Linked DNA regions of Saccharomyces cerevisiae S288C. The gene in region 4 interacts genetically with the main gene of each other region. Each region holds a gene or a part of one and is shown on either strand. Other genes may lie near its edges.

Region 1 (3,645 bases), on a different chromosome or scaffold from region 4:
CCATTAAGATCTTAATCATTTGCCATGGTTTCATCGTATTTTCTTCATTGGCAGAAGTCCCATCTAGATTAACCAATTTTTTTTCGATCATGATATTGCTAACCTTTTCTAACTTTTCCAGAACATTAGGCCTCGAATTTATTTGATCCATGAGTTTCTGCACCTTTATGTGTGCATCTATTTTGTCATTAGGCTGTCTGTCGTCCCAAGATTGAGCGTAAAATCTTCTCGGAGAAATCCAGGAAAGCCTCCTTAAACTCCTGGTGTGATTAGTGGTAGAAATGTTCGATAGTTCTATCGAACGAGTGACTCTGGAACTATGCTTCCATATAACTCTTAGCATTATGTGTGGCTGTAGTATCTACTTTCTGCTTCTTGTGTTTATTCTAACTTTTTATTCGTCGGTTTTGTTACATCTTAAATTGTATTTCTTTAGTTCTGACCGAGCCATATTTAATGCATAGAAGATTAATAAAGAAAACATGAAAATCATAAATAATTAAAAGTAACTGGACGAACAAAAGATTTTACGTGAGACAGACAAAAAAAATTAACACCAGCAGTATATGTATATATGTACATCGTATATGAATATGCCATTTCAACAAATTGGATATGGTTGTATGTTTGGCTTTTTCTTTTCCTGGATTCCGGCTGTCAAATACTACTACGAATAGAGTCAGAACAGGCTTTTCTGTCCCTTCCTCCTATTGTTTCCTTTGCTCTGTCCGTGGCTACTCTCATCTTTTTCTATTCTAAGAGAATTTCCATCTGTTACCACATGCTTCACATGTACAGAAAGTGGTCAATGGTTCATCCGCAGATCTTGTTTGCAATTGATAGTAAGATACCTTCTTCTCTTTACATTTACCACATGTAAATCTATCGGTGACTGACCTTTCTATGGTGGCACCCTGTGCGTTGTATAAGTTTTGCTTGGCAATTTCTTCTATCTTTTGCTTTAAGGGCGCTGGTGCCAGATCCTTGGCATCGCATGTAGCTAAGAATTCAGGTGTTATATCACCGTTGGCAATTTTATGTTTGAGATCTGGGTTATTCTTTGATATGACGTTTGAATAAATTATACGATACCTGGCTTTGTAAGCGGCTTCGTTGGTGTCACAGTTGTTAACTTTATTCATTTCACTTTCTATGGCCTTTGCAGTATGCAAAATAGATTGAGGTGGATGCTCACTTTCCTTGGCCAAAACGTCGTAGAGTGCTTTTAGTACCTGATCACGTAATTTGTGGTGGTATATAGCTGTATCCACACCATCGTTCTTACTATTTCTTGGTTTAGTGCTGACGTACTTGTCTTGTTTCATGGCATCTGACTGGGAGGAGGCCGGCTGTTGAACACCATTCACGGACTCACCTACAGTTGTCTTGTCCTCTGCATTGCCTGGCGCATGATCTTGATGATGCTGCTGTGCTTGCCTGGAACGCTTATTTTTATTAATTGCGTCTTTCCAAGAGCTAATCATTTTCTTCACGAGTTTGCTGATCTCTACATTAGTGGATTTTTTAAACTTGTTGACTTCCACACCAACTTTTGTTTCTCTCAGTAACTTTTCAGTGGGGACGAATTCTTTATCCAAGACATGTAAGATTTCTAGAACTGCAGCATCATTACTTTTGTTCTTTTCTAGATTCTTAACATGTACCAGTACTTCCTTACTATCCATGATGAATGCTCTTATGCGGACTGACTACACTGTGAATGTTCTGCTGCTTGAGTAATTTTTCATTCAATATTTTTCAATACGTAGTCCCATCATCGAGTGATCACTTGGTCATATCAGCACAGTGGGGCGGGTAAGAGTTGAAAATTTCCCTATAATGAAATTGGATATTATATATCAAAAAGGCGTTGTCATTCGAAGCATCGTTTCAAAAGAAGGTCCGTAAAGTTAAGGTGGGCTAGTGAAGTATCTCATAATTGTTACAATCACCATAAGAGAAATCTTGCGTTTAGAATTTCCTAAGAGAACCGAGTCACTTCTAGCACTTGCTTTAAACAGAAACACTTGTAATAATTGTTAGAGGGATATACAAGAAAGGCTATATACCAATAGCATCACATAGACACGTTAATTATCAATACATTGAAAGAAAAGACGAAAACGATAAAATGAATAGGCAGAGCGGTGTGAATGCGGGGGTACAGAACAACCCACCATCCCGAGTGGTGTATCTGGGTTCTATACCATACGATCAAACAGAGGAGCAGATACTTGATTTATGTAGTAATGTTGGGCCCGTGATCAATTTGAAAATGATGTTCGACCCCCAAACTGGTAGGTCGAAAGGGTACGCGTTTATTGAATTTAGAGATTTAGAGTCCAGTGCCAGCGCAGTACGTAATTTGAATGGATACCAATTAGGCTCTAGGTTTTTGAAATGCGGTTACTCCAGCAATAGTGATATATCGGGAGTTTCACAACAGCAACAACAACAGTACAACAACATTAATGGGAACAATAACAACAATGGAAATAATAATAATAATAGTAATGGGCCGGACTTTCAAAACAGCGGAAATGCCAATTTTCTAAGTCAAAAGTTTCCAGAATTGCCCTCTGGTATCGACGTTAACATAAACATGACCACCCCTGCTATGATGATATCGAGCGAACTAGCTAAAAAACCGAAAGAGGTGCAGTTGAAATTTTTACAAAAATTCCAAGAATGGACAAGAGCGCATCCTGAAGATGCTGTTTCGCTATTAGAGCTGTGTCCACAGTTGAGTTTTGTTACGGCTGAATTATTGCTAACGAATGGGATATGTAAAGTGGATGATTTGATCCCGTTAGCTTCCAGGCCGCAAGAAGAGGCATCGGCTACGAATAACAATAGCGTGAACGAGGTGGTGGATCCAGCTGTGCTTAACAAACAGAAAGAACTACTGAAACAGGTGTTACAACTGAATGACAGTCAAATTTCTATCTTGCCCGATGATGAAAGGATGGCTATTTGGGACTTAAAACAAAAAGCATTAAGGGGAGAATTTGGTGCATTTTGAAACTAGGGAGGCAAAAATACAAAAAAAAAATGCGGTTCCGCAATGATGAGGCAACAATCTATCATATTTTCCACGTGAGGGAGCTCAAAGTTCGGTATATAGCTTACATCTCAATATCACAATCACTTTTTTTTTTGACGTCTTTATAAATATAGAATAACGTTTACGTTACTGCTATTTTTTCGTTTCTTATCTCAGTTTGCCTGAGGACGGCTATAGTTTTAATCATTAAACGTATATTAAGTACACATGAACATATATAAATCTCAGGTTTGTGCATGCTTCGATTTTTTTTTTCTATGTTAATGTCATGGATCATTACGTGGCTGGGATAGTGGAAATATGCAAACATGATTAAGGCGCCTAGTTCCAACACGGCGCAAGCTGCGAGTATATGACTTGTTACCTGCACTTTTTAATAGTCATCACAAGGGGGAGGATCGCTTTCTAACTGTTGTAGTCTTTTTTGTTCAAGTTCTTGTTTGTCTTCCGACGGTACACTGACTTTATCATTTGGCGAATACTTTGGAACTGGAACATCGTCACTATCATATGCATTTAATGGGGCCAACCAATCTCTTAAATTCGATGGAGAATTTTGAGGAGCCGTGATTGAGGATTGG
Region 2 (4,970 bases), on a different chromosome or scaffold from region 4:
GGGAGCCCTATGGACTATAGTCAAGTTGTGGTAAAGTTAGGTGATTTTGGGTTAGCCAAATCTCTGGAAACTAGTATTCAATTTGCCACAACATACGTCGGTACACCATATTACATGTCGCCTGAAGTGTTGATGGACCAACCATACTCCCCACTATCCGACATCTGGTCACTAGGTTGTGTTATTTTTGAGATGTGTTCGTTGCACCCCCCATTTCAGGCAAAAAATTATCTCGAGCTACAAACTAAGATTAAAAACGGGAAATGTGACACCGTCCCTGAGTATTACTCTAGAGGGCTTAATGCCATAATACATTCAATGATAGATGTGAACTTAAGAACCAGGCCTTCCACTTTTGAATTACTGCAAGATATTCAGATACGAACTGCAAGAAAGTCGTTGCAATTAGAGAGATTTGAAAGGAAGTTACTGGACTATGAAAATGAGCTGACAAACATTGAAAAAATCCTCGAGAAGCAAGCTATTGAATACGAAAGAGAACTGAGTCAGTTGAAGGAACAATTTACCCAGGCAGTGGAGGAGCGAGCCAGGGAAGTAATTAGCGGTAAGAAAGTTGGTAAGGTTCCAGAATCTATAAACGGATATTATGGTAAAAAATTTGCCAAACCTGCATACCACTGGCAAACAAGATATCGATAAAATTTGCTCTGAGAACATTTATACATTAATACATACGGGTATGTATGAATCATATTCAGTGAGGAGTTACACTGGCGACTTGTAGTATATGTAAATCACGTTAGTGAGACCATTTAGACCCTGTCAATGTTTCATAAGCCTCTATATATTTGGCCCTTGTCCTGTCGACAATGTCTTGGGGCATTTTGACGCCGTTAACACCGTTCAACTTATTAGCAGTAAGCCAGTCTCTTAAAAATTGCTTATCGTAAGAATCTTGGGATTCTCCTACCTTATAAGAGGCACCGTTCCAGAATCTAGAGGAGTCTGGCGTTAGCACCTCGTCCACTAGAATAATTTCATTGGTCTTTTCGTCAATACCGAATTCGAATTTAGTGTCTGCGATGATGATGCCCTTCTCCTTAGCATAATCTTTGCACTTGGAGTACAGTTTTACAGCCAGTTCTGCCACTCTACGTGACAAATCTTCACCCACCAGCTCAGCGGCCTGGGCAGGAGAGATGTTTTCGTCATGTTCACCTTGTTCAGCCTTGGTCGATGGGGTGAAGATTGGTTCTGGGAACTCTTGAGATTCTTTAAGTCCTTGAGGTTGTTTCAAACCATGCACAGTACCTGTTTTTACGTACTCTTTCCAAGCAGATCCGGTGATGTAGCCTCTGACAATTACTTCCAATGGAATTAGTTTATGTTTGTGAACCAATAGAGAGCGGTCTTCTAGTTGCGTTTTGTACTTTGGTTCGCTCAATTTTGCAGGTAGATAATCGAAAATAGTCTTACCTGGGGCGATGTCGACCAAATGATTACGAACATCGTTGGACAGGAACTTGAACCAGAACTCTGACAGTTTGGTCAATAGGATCCCCTTTTCAGGAATGCTGTTTTCCATAATAACGTCATATGCAGAGATACGATCCGTAGCAACAAACAGCAACGTACCAGCGTCTACCTCATATATGTCTCTAACTTTACCTCTGGCCACCAATGGCAATATACCGTCCAGTTCAGTCTTCGTAATTGACATTATCGTTAATATTTCGTATGTGTATTCTTTGTAAGCAATGCTTATGATTCGATTGTTCTTAATAGTACCAACTGCAAAAGATAAAACCCAACCGTCTTACCTCAAAGAATCTGGGTAAGAATATATAGAATGTATATATATATATATGTATGTCTATATGTATTAGATGGCATCTTCGAGATTAGTATTATTACATCCTCATCTCTCGCAAGAGTCAGACTGACTCGTGAATAAGCTTCGGGTGACCCTTATGGCATTCTTTTTCAACCTTCAGGAAAAGTTTCAGATGAGTTGAAATTTCGAGTATGGCTACATGGATCAAGTGCTGTAAACAAAGAAGCTTCTACAGGGGTACGCTGGTTGTGTTTTCTGCTTTGCTATCGTGTAGAACTGGATCCATTCTTTCCTGGCTGTGGTAGTACTTAAGGAGTTGGACGTGTTCAAGTCGAGAAAGAGGTGAAATACACGTAGTTTTTAGATAACATTCTCTGCTTGGTAAGAGAATGAGTAATAAGGAAGAGCATGTTGATGAGACTTCCGCAAGTGGTGTCAAGGAGGTTAGTTCTATAGCTGCTAGACATGACAATGGTTACGCGCCTTCGCTAATCACGTCGACGTCGGGCATGGACTCCTTTCAATCGCACGCGCTACTGAATGATCCAACCCTAATAGAGGATTATTCAGATATCATTAATAATAGGCCTACAAGTGGAAGTAAACTTACTTTAGGAAACGAGGATTCGGAGAGTATGGGCGGAAGTGTTGTGGTGACTCCGACTTCGAATAAGAGTTCGCCCTTCAATTCGAAACTTAATATACTGAGTAATGCGGCAGAAAAGGGCCATGATGTTCTGCGAAATAGAGATGATGACAAAGAGTTAGAGGAGGAGAACGTGGAAAAACATATGCATAGCAACAGTAAAAGGGATCAGCGACATTACAAAGAAAATTCTTCGGAATTGCCCGACTCATATGATTATTCGGATTCTGAATTTGAGGACAATTTGGAAAGAAGGCTACAAGAGATCGAAACTGATTCCGTGGATAGCGCCGATAAGGATGAGGTGCATTTTTCAGTGAATAATACAATGAACCCTGACGTTGACGATTTTAGTGATGGCTTGAAATACGCCATCTCGGAGGACGAGGATGAAGAGGAAAACTACTCTGATGACGATGACTTTGACAGAAAATTTCAAGATTCAGGGTTTCAAGGGGAGAAAGACGATTTGGAGGAGGAAAACGACGATTACCAACCCTTATCGCCGCCAAGAGAACTGGACCCTGATAAACTATATGCTTTATATGCGTTCAATGGCCATGATTCTTCACATTGTCAATTAGGGCAAGACGAACCTTGTATACTTTTGAATGACCAGGATGCCTATTGGTGGCTGGTTAAGAGGATCACTGATGGTAAAATCGGGTTTGCGCCAGCGGAAATTCTAGAAACCTTTCCAGAAAGACTAGCTCGATTGAATTGCTGGAAAAATGAAAACATGTCTTCTCAATCGGTTGCTTCCTCCGATTCGAAAGATGATTCCATCAGCTCTGGTAACAAGAATCAAAGTGATGCAGAGAGTATAATTCCGACACCTGCACTGAATGGATATGGTAAGGGGAACAAATCTGTTAGTTTCAATGATGTTGTCGGTTATGCAGACAGGTTTATAGATGATGCAATTGAAGATACCTCGTTAGATAGTAACGATGATGGCGGTGAAGGCAATGGACAGTCGTACGACGATGATGTTGATAACGACAAGGAAACAAAAGTAACGCACCGGGACGAATACACTGAAGCGAAGTTAAATTTTGGCAAATTCCAGGATGATGATACGAGCGATGTAGTGAGCGACGTCTCCTTTAGTACATCTTTGAATACACCACTAAATGTGAAAAAAGTTCGGAGACAAGACAACAAAAACGAAAGTGAGCCTAAGACATCATCGAGTAAAGACAGAGAAGATGATTATAATGCAAATCGGTATGTGGGGCAAGAAAAGTCTGAACCGGTTGACAGTGATTACGATACCGATCTGAAAAAAGTATTTGAAGCGCCTCGTATGCCATTTGCGAATGGTATGGCAAAATCAGACTCTCAAAATTCCCTTTCAACAATTGGCGAGTTTTCACCGTCGTCGTCAGAATGGACAAACGAATCACCATCCACTCCAATAGTTGAAGAAAGCAGCAGTATTCCATCATCTAGAGCAATAAAGGACATTTCACAATATATTCATGCAAAATCGAAAATTGAAGAGACAACAAACGTGGAAAACACAGAGGGGCAAATTCAAGCCAGCTTGGGGTCTAGTGGAGGAATGGCAAATCAAACTGACGCAGAACAACCTAAAGAGGAGCTAGAAAAACATCACAGTACCCCCGAAGAAGAAAAGCAATCAACCTTATCGTTACACTCATCATCTGAAGAAGATTTTTATATGGATGAACAAAGGGCGGTATCATCAGCAAGCATAAATAGTTCACTTTCCGGATCAAGGGCATTGTCTAATACCAATATGTCCGATCCGGCTTCGAAGCCCAATTCTTTGGTTCAACATCTCTATGCTCCAGTTTTTGACAGAATGGATGTGTTGATGAAACAATTGGATGAAATTATTCGTAAATGATATTGTCCTTACAATAAAGCCTGGTCTTTTTCTCATCCAACGAACTTGCATCATATTCATGAATATTTATTTGTTTTAGAAACATTTCGGAAAAAATAAGGTAGTAACAGTTCAGCATATATGATAGCTAAAACAAACAACTATATATCGTATCTACAAAGTTTATCTTACTTCTTCTATTTTTTAACTTTGCTTCAGATTATGATAATGAAAAGGAGGAATAAAATTCTGTCATTATTCAGCATCCTCCAATGTGTCATAGGGATATAACTGGGGTTGAGGAGGTAGTAGTCGACAACTACTTAGTCGTGATACAACAGTATGGATAGGTACTTTCCACGAACATTACTGATGACAGTCAGCTATTCACGAATTCAATTGTGTTGGATTAACAAAAAAATTTGGACGCAACCGGAATCGAACCGATGACCTCTTCCTTGCAAGGGAAGCGCGCTACCAACTGCGCCATGTGCCCAACTCATTACAATACTAGACTTATGAAGGAATGGTAAGTGCTTAGAAGCTTTATGATGTAGTAGAGATTTAAGGCCATCAATTACATTGTTGAAAATAAGAACCTGTTGGAATAGAAATCAACTATCATCTACTAACTAGTATTTACATTACTAGTATATTATCATATACGGTGTTAGAAG
Region 3 (3,473 bases), on a different chromosome or scaffold from region 4:
TACGTTGAGTCACCGAATATCGTTACCTGTACCGGACCAAGTTTCCCGTGATAAAATTCAGAACAAATTAAGATATTCGACCTCATTACTCTCATTAAATTCTAAATCATCTTTACCGATGAACAAAAATGATCATGATGAGACACTTCTAAGACAGATTTTACTAAATTGTGATATAAAGAGAATTTTAAACCCCGCAAAAGGAGATGTATTGCCTTTAATCAACGATGTAAACCATTTGTCATCAATACAATTAACATCAAATGTTTGGCAAATTGGTGAAGTAATCTGTAAAAAAGTTTCTCTCGGTACTATTGATGACATTACATGGGATAGAAAGTTCTTATCTTTGCAGGAACTGGAAAAACTCAAAATCATGCAACAAAAATTTGATGGCATACCGCAACTATTGAAAAGTTTTGTTGTTAAAGAGGCAAATGGGGGGTTGTATTTGTACTTACTATTCAAAGATCACGGTACCCCAATTTCGTTAATCTCACTGAAAAACTGGAAGCAGATTCTAAAGATTTTTTGGTCTTGTGCTGGTATAATTCATGGGTTGGAAAAAAATTTGAAATTTGAACATCGTAATCTTACTTTGGATAATATTTTGATAGATGGTAATGGGAATATAACAATTATTGATTTTAAATGCAGTAGATTGCAAACTCCTCAAGATGATGTTTTATATCTACGGCTAGATCATCCACTCTTTTTTCTAAATGGGAAAGACAAGAGTAAAATAAACGAATACCAGTATCAATTTGAGTTTGAAATCTATCAAAGTATGCGGATCTTGTTGAACATGGACGCGTCAGCTTTTGAGCCCATGACAAATTTGTATTGGTTATATTACCTGTCACGCGTTTTACTAAAGTTTGGTGACAGGAAGCTTGGTAAGAATGATGCAAACAGGGATAAAATGGCAAGGGTGATAAACCATTTGGAAATGAACTTGGCAGTTCATAAAAGAGGGGGGCAGTTATTCAAAAGATTGGAGACGGAGGACATTAAGAATACTGGAGATTTACTAAAACTTTATAAATAAAACAAATAGGAATGTTGACATTTATATTTCATTTTCTTTCTATTGTATACTCCAATACATAAACATATTATATATACGTACATAATGTAATAACACTAATCTAAAATAATGGCATCGTCGACAGCATCCAAGGCTTTCTCCTCTTGAGTCTCCACAGATGCAGGTGCTTCCATTTTGGGAGTCAAAAACAATTGCTTAACGATAAATTCCACGCCGTTGATGACATTCATCAATGCCCAAACCCAGATTCCCAAAGAGACACTCTGTAAAGCCATATCATCAAACTTGGAAGCACCAAATTTGCCCTCCATTATATGCCATTTCTGAGAAATAGTCCTTAGAGGATGCAAGAGAACATATAACCAGCCTTGAGACCAAACACCACTTACAAACGTAGGGAACAAGGTGCTAGTCGAGGAACTCAACTTGTAAACTGGTGTCTTGCCGTACATAATCTTAAACACAAAAAATGGCACCGTCAATGCCAATAACCTGAGTTTGTGAAGATGGGCCTGAAAGGCTTTATTTTCTGATTGTATTTCGTCCTTCAAGTTATTTATTTCTTTATCTAACGAGTCCAATTTTCTATTGTTCTTAGTCCATTTGGCATAATTATCCTGCGCGGAGATAGAGTTGTTGAATTCTTTTAATTCGTGACGTTCTTTGACCTTGGCTAAGTATTTTTTGGATAATTCATTTCCTGGTGCAAATTTAGAGATCCATTTCTCGTGGTATTTGTTTGTATACTGTAGAAACTTTGTGACCACAATAAAGAATATCGCTACCGCTGCTGCCCAATGCATTTCTCCTATTTCAATCAACTAGACGTAGTTCAAGGATTGCAAACTGTCCTGCTTTCTTTTATCTGGTCTTTTTATCCCGAGGTATTGTTGTATATACCACTACTCTGTGATTTTTTTTCACTCTTGGGAAGGAAAGAAAAAGTGAAAACATCAACTGGTAAGTGTCTAATGACAAAAACAGGAGGTAGTTGGTACGTGCAAAACACGATAGTGACGTTAATCCGAATCTGTAAATTGGTGAATTGGTATTTAGAAGCGACCATTAGCTAAAAGAGAGAGAAAACTATGTCGCAAGAGTTTGTGGAAGACTATTCACGTACAGGGTCCTCAGACGACGAGGATAGTGGAGCTTATGACGAGTGGATTCCATCGTTCTGTTCCAGATTTGGTCACGAGTACTTCTGCCAAGTCCCGACAGAGTTTATCGAGGATGATTTCAATATGACCTCGTTATCCCAAGAGGTACCCCACTACCGGAAAGCTCTGGATTTGATATTGGATTTGGAGGCTATGAGTGATGAAGAAGAGGACGAAGACGACGTGGTGGAAGAAGACGAAGTGGATCAAGAGATGCAGAGTAATGACGGTCATGATGAAGGCAAAAGGAGAAACAAGTCGCCAGTGGTGAACAAGAGTATTATCGAGCACGCAGCAGAACAGTTATACGGATTGATACATGCAAGATTTATTCTGACCAAGCCAGGCCTGCAAGCAATGGCTGAAAAATTCGACCACAAGGAATTTGGAACGTGCCCCCGTTACTATTGTAATGGCATGCAGTTGCTGCCTTGTGGGTTGAGCGATACAGTTGGGAAACACACCGTAAGGTTGTACTGTCCCAGTTGTCAGGACTTGTATCTTCCCCAATCATCTAGATTCCTGTGCTTAGAAGGTGCATTTTGGGGGACAAGCTTCCCTGGTGTGTTCTTGAAACATTTCAAAGAATTGGAAGAGTATGTGGAAAGGAAAAGTAAAGAGTCCTACGAGTTGAAAGTTTTTGGGTTCAGGATAAATGATGAGGCAGTATCTGGTCCTAGAATGAAGTGGTTGAGACAATATCCATCCACGGAGGAGGACTGGGAAGAATTTGCCAAATGCGAGTTCGAGACACCGGCGGTTTAACCCTTGATTTATTTTCCTCTTTGCCCTACCATATACATATGTACTTTACCTATTTACATTGTTTCAGTTTTTATATCACCACTATTATTATTATTACTATTACCACTTTGGAGTACTTTAGTGATTCATTTCCAATTGTTTTCCTGGAGCCCAGTCTTTGAATGCCTTGGCCAAGTTGTACCAGTACTTTAGCTCCACGGTCAACTTCACTGCGGCGGCGTAATCCTTGTCATTGTAGCATTGTCCCAACTGGGCTTCAATATCTTGAATTCTTTCCTTGTTTTGCTTTTCAAGCAGCTTCACACCAGCTTCGTCGTCCATCTGGGATAATTCATCATGGATGTCTAGAACTTTCAATAGTAACTGTGGATCACTGGTAGTTACTTCATTTGAGGTCTGTTCTTGCGTCAAATCGATATTGCGCAAGAGTTTTAGCATATATTGTGACCTTCTAAGGGGATCTTTGAGAGTATGGTAAGCTTGATTAAGAGTTGATGACT
Region 4 (5,742 bases):
CATTGTACCAGGACAGGCTCTTCTTACCCGCGCAGTTCCTCCAGCACTACCAGGCGATGAATCGCGATCGTCGCACCAGCCCAGAAGATGAACTGATTGAGTATGAGCTTAGACGGATTAAAGTCGAAGCGTTTGCGCGTGGCACAATGCACTCCACGGCGCTCAGGGAAAAGTGGAAGGTATTCTTGCAGGAGATGGATACGCTACCAGGGCAGCCGCCATTAAGGCTGCGCGACTTCCCGCAAATGACCAAGGCTATGGGCATAGCATTGATGCAGCAAGATGAGCAAGCAGCTGCCCTGGCGTTGTTTGGACGACAGCCCCTAGTGATAAAGAACGAATGGTCACTACCGCTACTACTGGCTGGTGTCCTTTGGCATGTTCCCGGCCCAGCGCAGGCGCGACGTGTGCTGGCGGAGTTCCGTCAAAGTTATCGCGGGCTGCCGCTGCTGGATGCCGAACTAGTGATAAAGAGAAGAGGATTTGAAATCAACACATAAATCTGGGTGGAGCATCGCTGTAACAAGGAACAACGCGTGCTAGCAAGCGGTAATGAAATACAAGGAAATCAATTTCTTCAAGGGCCATCCGAGCTCGAGGTTGCTGCCTCGAGAAGCAGTAATTCAAGCGACTGCGGCTATATTGGGGCCCGAGACCAGGGAGTACGATAACGACCCCTATAACAGGCATCCGCTGACGTACGGTTCGGACGAAGGTGCCCTGTGGGTGCGAGAGCAGATTTGTACGTTTCTGAATGATCAGCTGTTTAAGTTCGAAAATGGGGCTCGGAGCAGGACACGGGCAGACTATTTGAATCTGAATAGCGGCGCTTCGTATGGCATGCTGAACATCCTTCTGCAAACAACCTTGCCACATAACGGGTATACCAGGCAGGCGTTCATCATCACGCCAACATATTTCTTGATCAACAATTGCTTCACAGATGCGGGATTCAAGGGGAAAATGACCGCCATCAACGAGCAGGGCCACGACTCGATTGATTTCGAGTCGTTGATTTCTGCCCTTGAGCAGCACGAGGCGGAGCCGCAGCCCCATAGTACCACAGAGATGATTCAGGGGCCAAAGTTGACCAAGAAGGTCTACAGGTACGTTATGTACTGCATCCCGACGTTTGCAAACCCATCGGGAAACACATACTCGCTTGAGACCAGACGCAGACTTATCGACATCGCTCGGAAGTACGACATGCTGATAATCACTGATGACGTGTACGATATTCTAGATTACACGACGCCCTCAGATGAGCTGCCCTCTCCGCCCCTAAGGATGGTGCACATAGACAGAAGTACAGCGCCCTCCGGTGAGGACTCGTTCGGGAATACAGTGTCCAACGCAACTTTCTCCAAGCTGATCGCCCCTGGGCTCAGATTTGGATACCATGAGTCAATCAACGCGAATCTCGCCAGACAGCTATCTAAAGGTGGTGCAAACGTCTCTGGCGGAACTCCCTCACAACTGAACTCCATGATCGTGGGTGAGATGCTGCGTAGTGGTGCCGCCCAGAGATGCATTGCACATCTGAGATCCGTATACTCCGAGAGGGCCACTGTCTTGACCTCGGCGCTTAAGAAATACATGCCCCTAGGAACCGAGATTATGCCATTGAAGGGCGGCTATTTTACTTGGATCACTCTCCCACCAGCGTACAATGCCATGGAGATATCCACTATTCTTGCCAAGAAATTTAATGTCATCCTTGCCGACGGCTCCAATTTCGAGGTCATCGGCGATGAGAAAAACTGGGGTCAGTCATGCTTTAGGCTTTCTATTAGTTTCTTAGAAGTTGATGATATCGACAGGGGCATTGAGCTGTTTGGTGCTGTTTGCAAATCTCATGCGATCACCAATAACATAACTATGTAGAAGGAATACGTATATAGGTGAACGGTAATAAGAGGGTAATTTTTCTACGGGCAAAGGCAAGGAAGAAAAAGAAAAAGAAGGAAAAAAATATAATGTGATAAAACAAACAAGCAGCGAAAAAGCGAAAGGGAAGAGAAGTGTTTCTAGAGAAGAAAGTCATTTTAATAGTAAGTCAGACTCGTCTGCTACCATCATCCAGGTACCGCTTTCCTTTCCATCATCATTAAAAAAAATGAACATGCAAGACGCTAACAAAGAAGAGTCGTACTCGATGTACCCGAAAACCTCTTCTCCACCACCACCTACGCCAACCAATATGCAGATTCCTATTTATCAAGCGCCTTTGCAGATGTACGGCTACACTCAGGCCCCATATCTATACCCCACACAAATACCTGCCTATTCGTTTAATATGGTCAACCAAAACCAGCCAATCTACCATCAAAGTGGCAGCCCACATCACTTGCCTCCGCAAAACAATATTAACGGCGGAAGCACTACCAATAACAACAACATTAACAAGAAGAAGTGGCACTCTAATGGCATTACCAATAACAATGGAAGCAGCGGTAATCAAGGCGCCAACTCTAGCGGTAGCGGCATGAGCTACAACAAATCCCACACCTACCATCACAATTACTCTAACAATCATATCCCCATGATGGCCTCTCCAAACAGTGGCAGCAATGCGGGCATGAAAAAACAGACCAACTCTTCCAACGGCAACGGTTCTTCGGCTACTTCACCATCGTACTCTTCCTACAACTCTTCTTCACAGTATGATTTATACAAGTTTGATGTCACTAAATTAAAGAATCTCAAGGAAAATTCATCAAACTTGATTCAATTGCCACTGTTCATAAACACTACGGAAGCAGAATTTGCTGCGGCAAGTGTCCAAAGGTACGAATTAAACATGAAGGCTTTGAACCTAAACTCTGAAAGCTTAGAGAACTCATCTGTAGAAAAGAGCTCTGCCCATCATCACACAAAAAGCCATAGTATACCAAAGCATAATGAGGAAGTAAAGACAGAAACACATGGGGAAGAAGAAGATGCTCATGATAAAAAACCACATGCGAGCAAAGATGCGCACGAGCTTAAAAAGAAAACTGAAGTAAAGAAAGAGGATGCTAAGCAAGACCGTAACGAAAAAGTTATACAGGAACCTCAAGCTACTGTTTTACCTGTAGTGGATAAGAAGGAACCAGAGGAATCTGTTGAAGAAAATACTTCCAAGACATCTTCACCTTCACCATCTCCTCCAGCAGCAAAATCCTGGTCCGCCATAGCATCAGATGCGATTAAAAGTAGACAAGCTAGTAACAAAACAGTCTCCGGATCGATGGTCACTAAAACACCAATTTCTGGTACGACCGCAGGCGTTTCATCAACAAACATGGCTGCGGCGACTATAGGTAAATCCAGCTCTCCCCTGTTGTCCAAGCAGCCTCAGAAAAAGGATAAAAAATACGTTCCACCTTCTACAAAGGGTATTGAGCCACTGGGTTCGATTGCGTTAAGAATGTGTTTTGATCCCGATTTCATTAGTTACGTTTTACGGAATAAAGATGTTGAAAACAAAATACCAGTCCATTCCATTATTCCAAGAGGCATAATTAACAGAGCCAACATTTGTTTTATGAGTTCTGTGTTACAAGTGTTACTCTACTGTAAGCCATTTATTGATGTAATTAACGTTCTCAGTACACGGAATACCAATTCAAGAGTCGGCACATCATCCTGTAAATTATTAGATGCTTGTTTGACTATGTATAAGCAATTCGATAAGGAAACCTATGAGAAAAAATTCCTAGAGAATGCTGATGATGCTGAAAAAACCACGGAAAGTGATGCAAAAAAATCATCAAAATCCAAGAGTTTCCAACACTGCGCCACTGCCGATGCTGTCAAACCTGACGAATTTTACAAAACTTTGTCTACTATACCGAAGTTCAAAGACTTGCAATGGGGCCATCAGGAAGACGCAGAAGAATTTTTGACCCACTTATTGGACCAATTACACGAGGAATTAATTTCTGCAATTGATGGCTTAACCGATAATGAAATTCAAAATATGCTGCAAAGTATTAATGATGAACAATTGAAAGTTTTCTTTATTAGAAATTTGTCACGTTATGGAAAAGCAGAGTTTATCAAAAATGCTAGTCCTAGACTGAAGGAGTTGATAGAAAAATATGGCGTGATCAATGATGACTCTACCGAAGAAAATGGTTGGCATGAAGTGAGCGGATCTAGCAAAAGAGGCAAGAAAACTAAGACCGCTGCCAAGAGGACTGTCGAGATTGTTCCATCACCAATCTCCAAACTTTTCGGTGGCCAGTTCAGATCTGTGTTAGATATACCGAACAATAAGGAATCTCAATCGATTACACTCGATCCGTTCCAAACAATTCAATTGGACATTTCAGATGCTGGTGTGAATGATCTAGAAACTGCATTCAAAAAATTTAGTGAATACGAATTGCTACCCTTTAAGTCCTCGTCAGGGAATGATGTCGAGGCCAAGAAGCAGACTTTTATTGATAAATTGCCGCAAGTTCTTTTAATCCAATTCAAAAGATTCTCATTCATAAATAATGTGAACAAAGACAACGCAATGACGAACTATAACGCGTACAATGGACGTATTGAGAAGATCAGGAAAAAAATTAAATATGGTCACGAGTTAATCATACCTGAAGAATCAATGTCTTCCATAACATTGAAAAACAACACCTCAGGGATTGATGATAGAAGATATAAGCTAACCGGAGTTATATACCATCATGGGGTAAGTTCCGATGGCGGTCATTACACAGCGGATGTTTATCATAGCGAGCACAACAAATGGTATAGAATAGATGATGTAAATATTACCGAACTAGAGGACGATGACGTTTTGAAAGGTGGCGAAGAAGCTTCTGATTCGAGGACTGCCTATATTTTAATGTATCAAAAGAGAAATTAAGACGGGGGGTGGTATTATAGACAAAATACATAAAAAATAATATAGCAATAATACAATACAATACAATACAATACGATAGTGAGCACGATTTTAAAAAAGAAATAGAGACAGACAGAGAAACAGAGTTACACTTTATGCTTGGCATATTTAAAAAATGATTTCGCCCAGGATCGAACTGGGGACGTTCTGCGTGTTAAGCAGATGCCATAACCGACTAGACCACGAAACCAATTATTTCTTGGAGATGAACATTTAAGAAACAAATACCTTGTAGAAGGAATGTGAATTTCAAAATATTATGGCCTTTGGCAACAATGGAATCACAACAATTATCACAAAACTCATACATCTCTTAAGATTCATTTCTTACTTTAAGTAATCATCCAAATTTAGCCAAAGTTTGATTTTACCTAAAAAAAGCAGAGGATTCCCGATTTCAATCATATGTGCACAGACGATGAGTCCAACACGTTATCGTTAACATAGTGCTCAATATTGCCACTGCGCTTCGCAGGAGCATATTTCGTATACGCCAAGCCCAAGGAGGGTTTTGTCATTAAGCAGCTTACGCCAATTAAGTGCTAACCTCGAAGCACCATACTTTATCTCAGGATTTACAAACTCCCTATTGCACAACGGCAAACAACATAATCATGACCAAATGGGTAAAAAAGATGAGCTGTGAAAAAGCCAAAAAAAAAAAGGAAGAACTAGAATTACATTTATTATTCTACACACAAAAAGAAAAAATAGTTTCTTTATTTAAATGATTTGAAGAAAAAGAACTATAACGACTACATCGAAGAATACAATATTAGTAAAAAACACATGTCCTGTTTAAAATAAGTCTCTAGTTAAAGACTATTCGATCATAAAAGCATCATAAC

Evidence for each region.
Region 1: mutations in UBP3 (region 4) and DST1 together harm fitness more than expected from each alone (negative genetic interaction), as found in Saccharomyces cerevisiae (6 studies listed by BioGRID, with this or other methods).
Region 2: mutations in UBP3 (region 4) and BUD14 together harm fitness more than expected from each alone (negative genetic interaction), as found in Saccharomyces cerevisiae (4 studies listed by BioGRID, with this or other methods).
Region 3: mutations in UBP3 (region 4) and CKB1 together harm fitness more than expected from each alone (negative genetic interaction), as found in Saccharomyces cerevisiae (4 studies listed by BioGRID).

What each region holds. Positions count from the first base shown.
Region 1 is NC_001139.9:415,523-419,167, reverse strand, and holds DST1 (transcription elongation factor DST1), read right to left. Parts: upstream 1,686-3,645; coding exon 756-1,685; downstream 1-755. Other genes in the region: DPC13 (Dpc13p), read right to left, coding at 1-343; YGL041C-B (uncharacterized protein), read left to right, coding at 282-464; RNA15 (Rna15p), read left to right, coding at 2,132-3,022; RIM8 (Rim8p), read right to left, coding at 3,438-3,645. UniProt on the Saccharomyces cerevisiae protein: Necessary for efficient RNA polymerase II transcription elongation past template-encoded arresting sites.
Region 2 is NC_001133.9:166,086-171,055, reverse strand, and holds BUD14 (protein phosphatase regulator BUD14), read left to right. Parts: upstream 1-2,184; coding exon 2,185-4,314; downstream 4,315-4,970. Other genes in the region: serine/threonine protein kinase KIN3, read left to right, coding at 1-660; ADE1 (phosphoribosylaminoimidazolesuccinocarboxamide synthase), read right to left, coding at 761-1,681. UniProt on the Saccharomyces cerevisiae protein: Important for bud site selection. Seems to be a regulatory subunit of the BUD14-GLC7 type-I phosphatase complex. The BUD14-GLC7 complex is necessary to regulate microtubule dynamics at the cortex and may function as a specific activator of the dynein complex.
Region 3 is NC_001139.9:456,020-459,492, forward strand, and holds CKB1 (casein kinase 2 regulatory subunit CKB1), read left to right. Parts: upstream 1-2,136; coding exon 2,137-2,973; downstream 2,974-3,473. Other genes in the region: protein kinase ALK1, read left to right, coding at 1-1,048; GET complex subunit GET1, read right to left, coding at 1,144-1,851; J-type chaperone JAC1, read right to left, coding at 3,091-3,473. UniProt on the Saccharomyces cerevisiae protein: Regulatory subunit of casein kinase II/CK2.
Region 4 is NC_001137.3:468,799-474,540, reverse strand, and holds UBP3 (mRNA-binding ubiquitin-specific protease UBP3), read left to right. Parts: upstream 1-2,116; coding exon 2,117-4,855; downstream 4,856-5,742. Other genes in the region: PET122 (Pet122p), read left to right, coding at 1-500; YER152C (2-aminoadipate transaminase), read left to right, coding at 553-1,884; SPI1 (Spi1p), read right to left, coding at 5,725-5,742. UniProt on the Saccharomyces cerevisiae protein: Has an ATP-independent isopeptidase activity, cleaving at the C-terminus of the ubiquitin moiety in natural or engineered linear fusion proteins, irrespective of their size or the presence of an N-terminal extension to ubiquitin.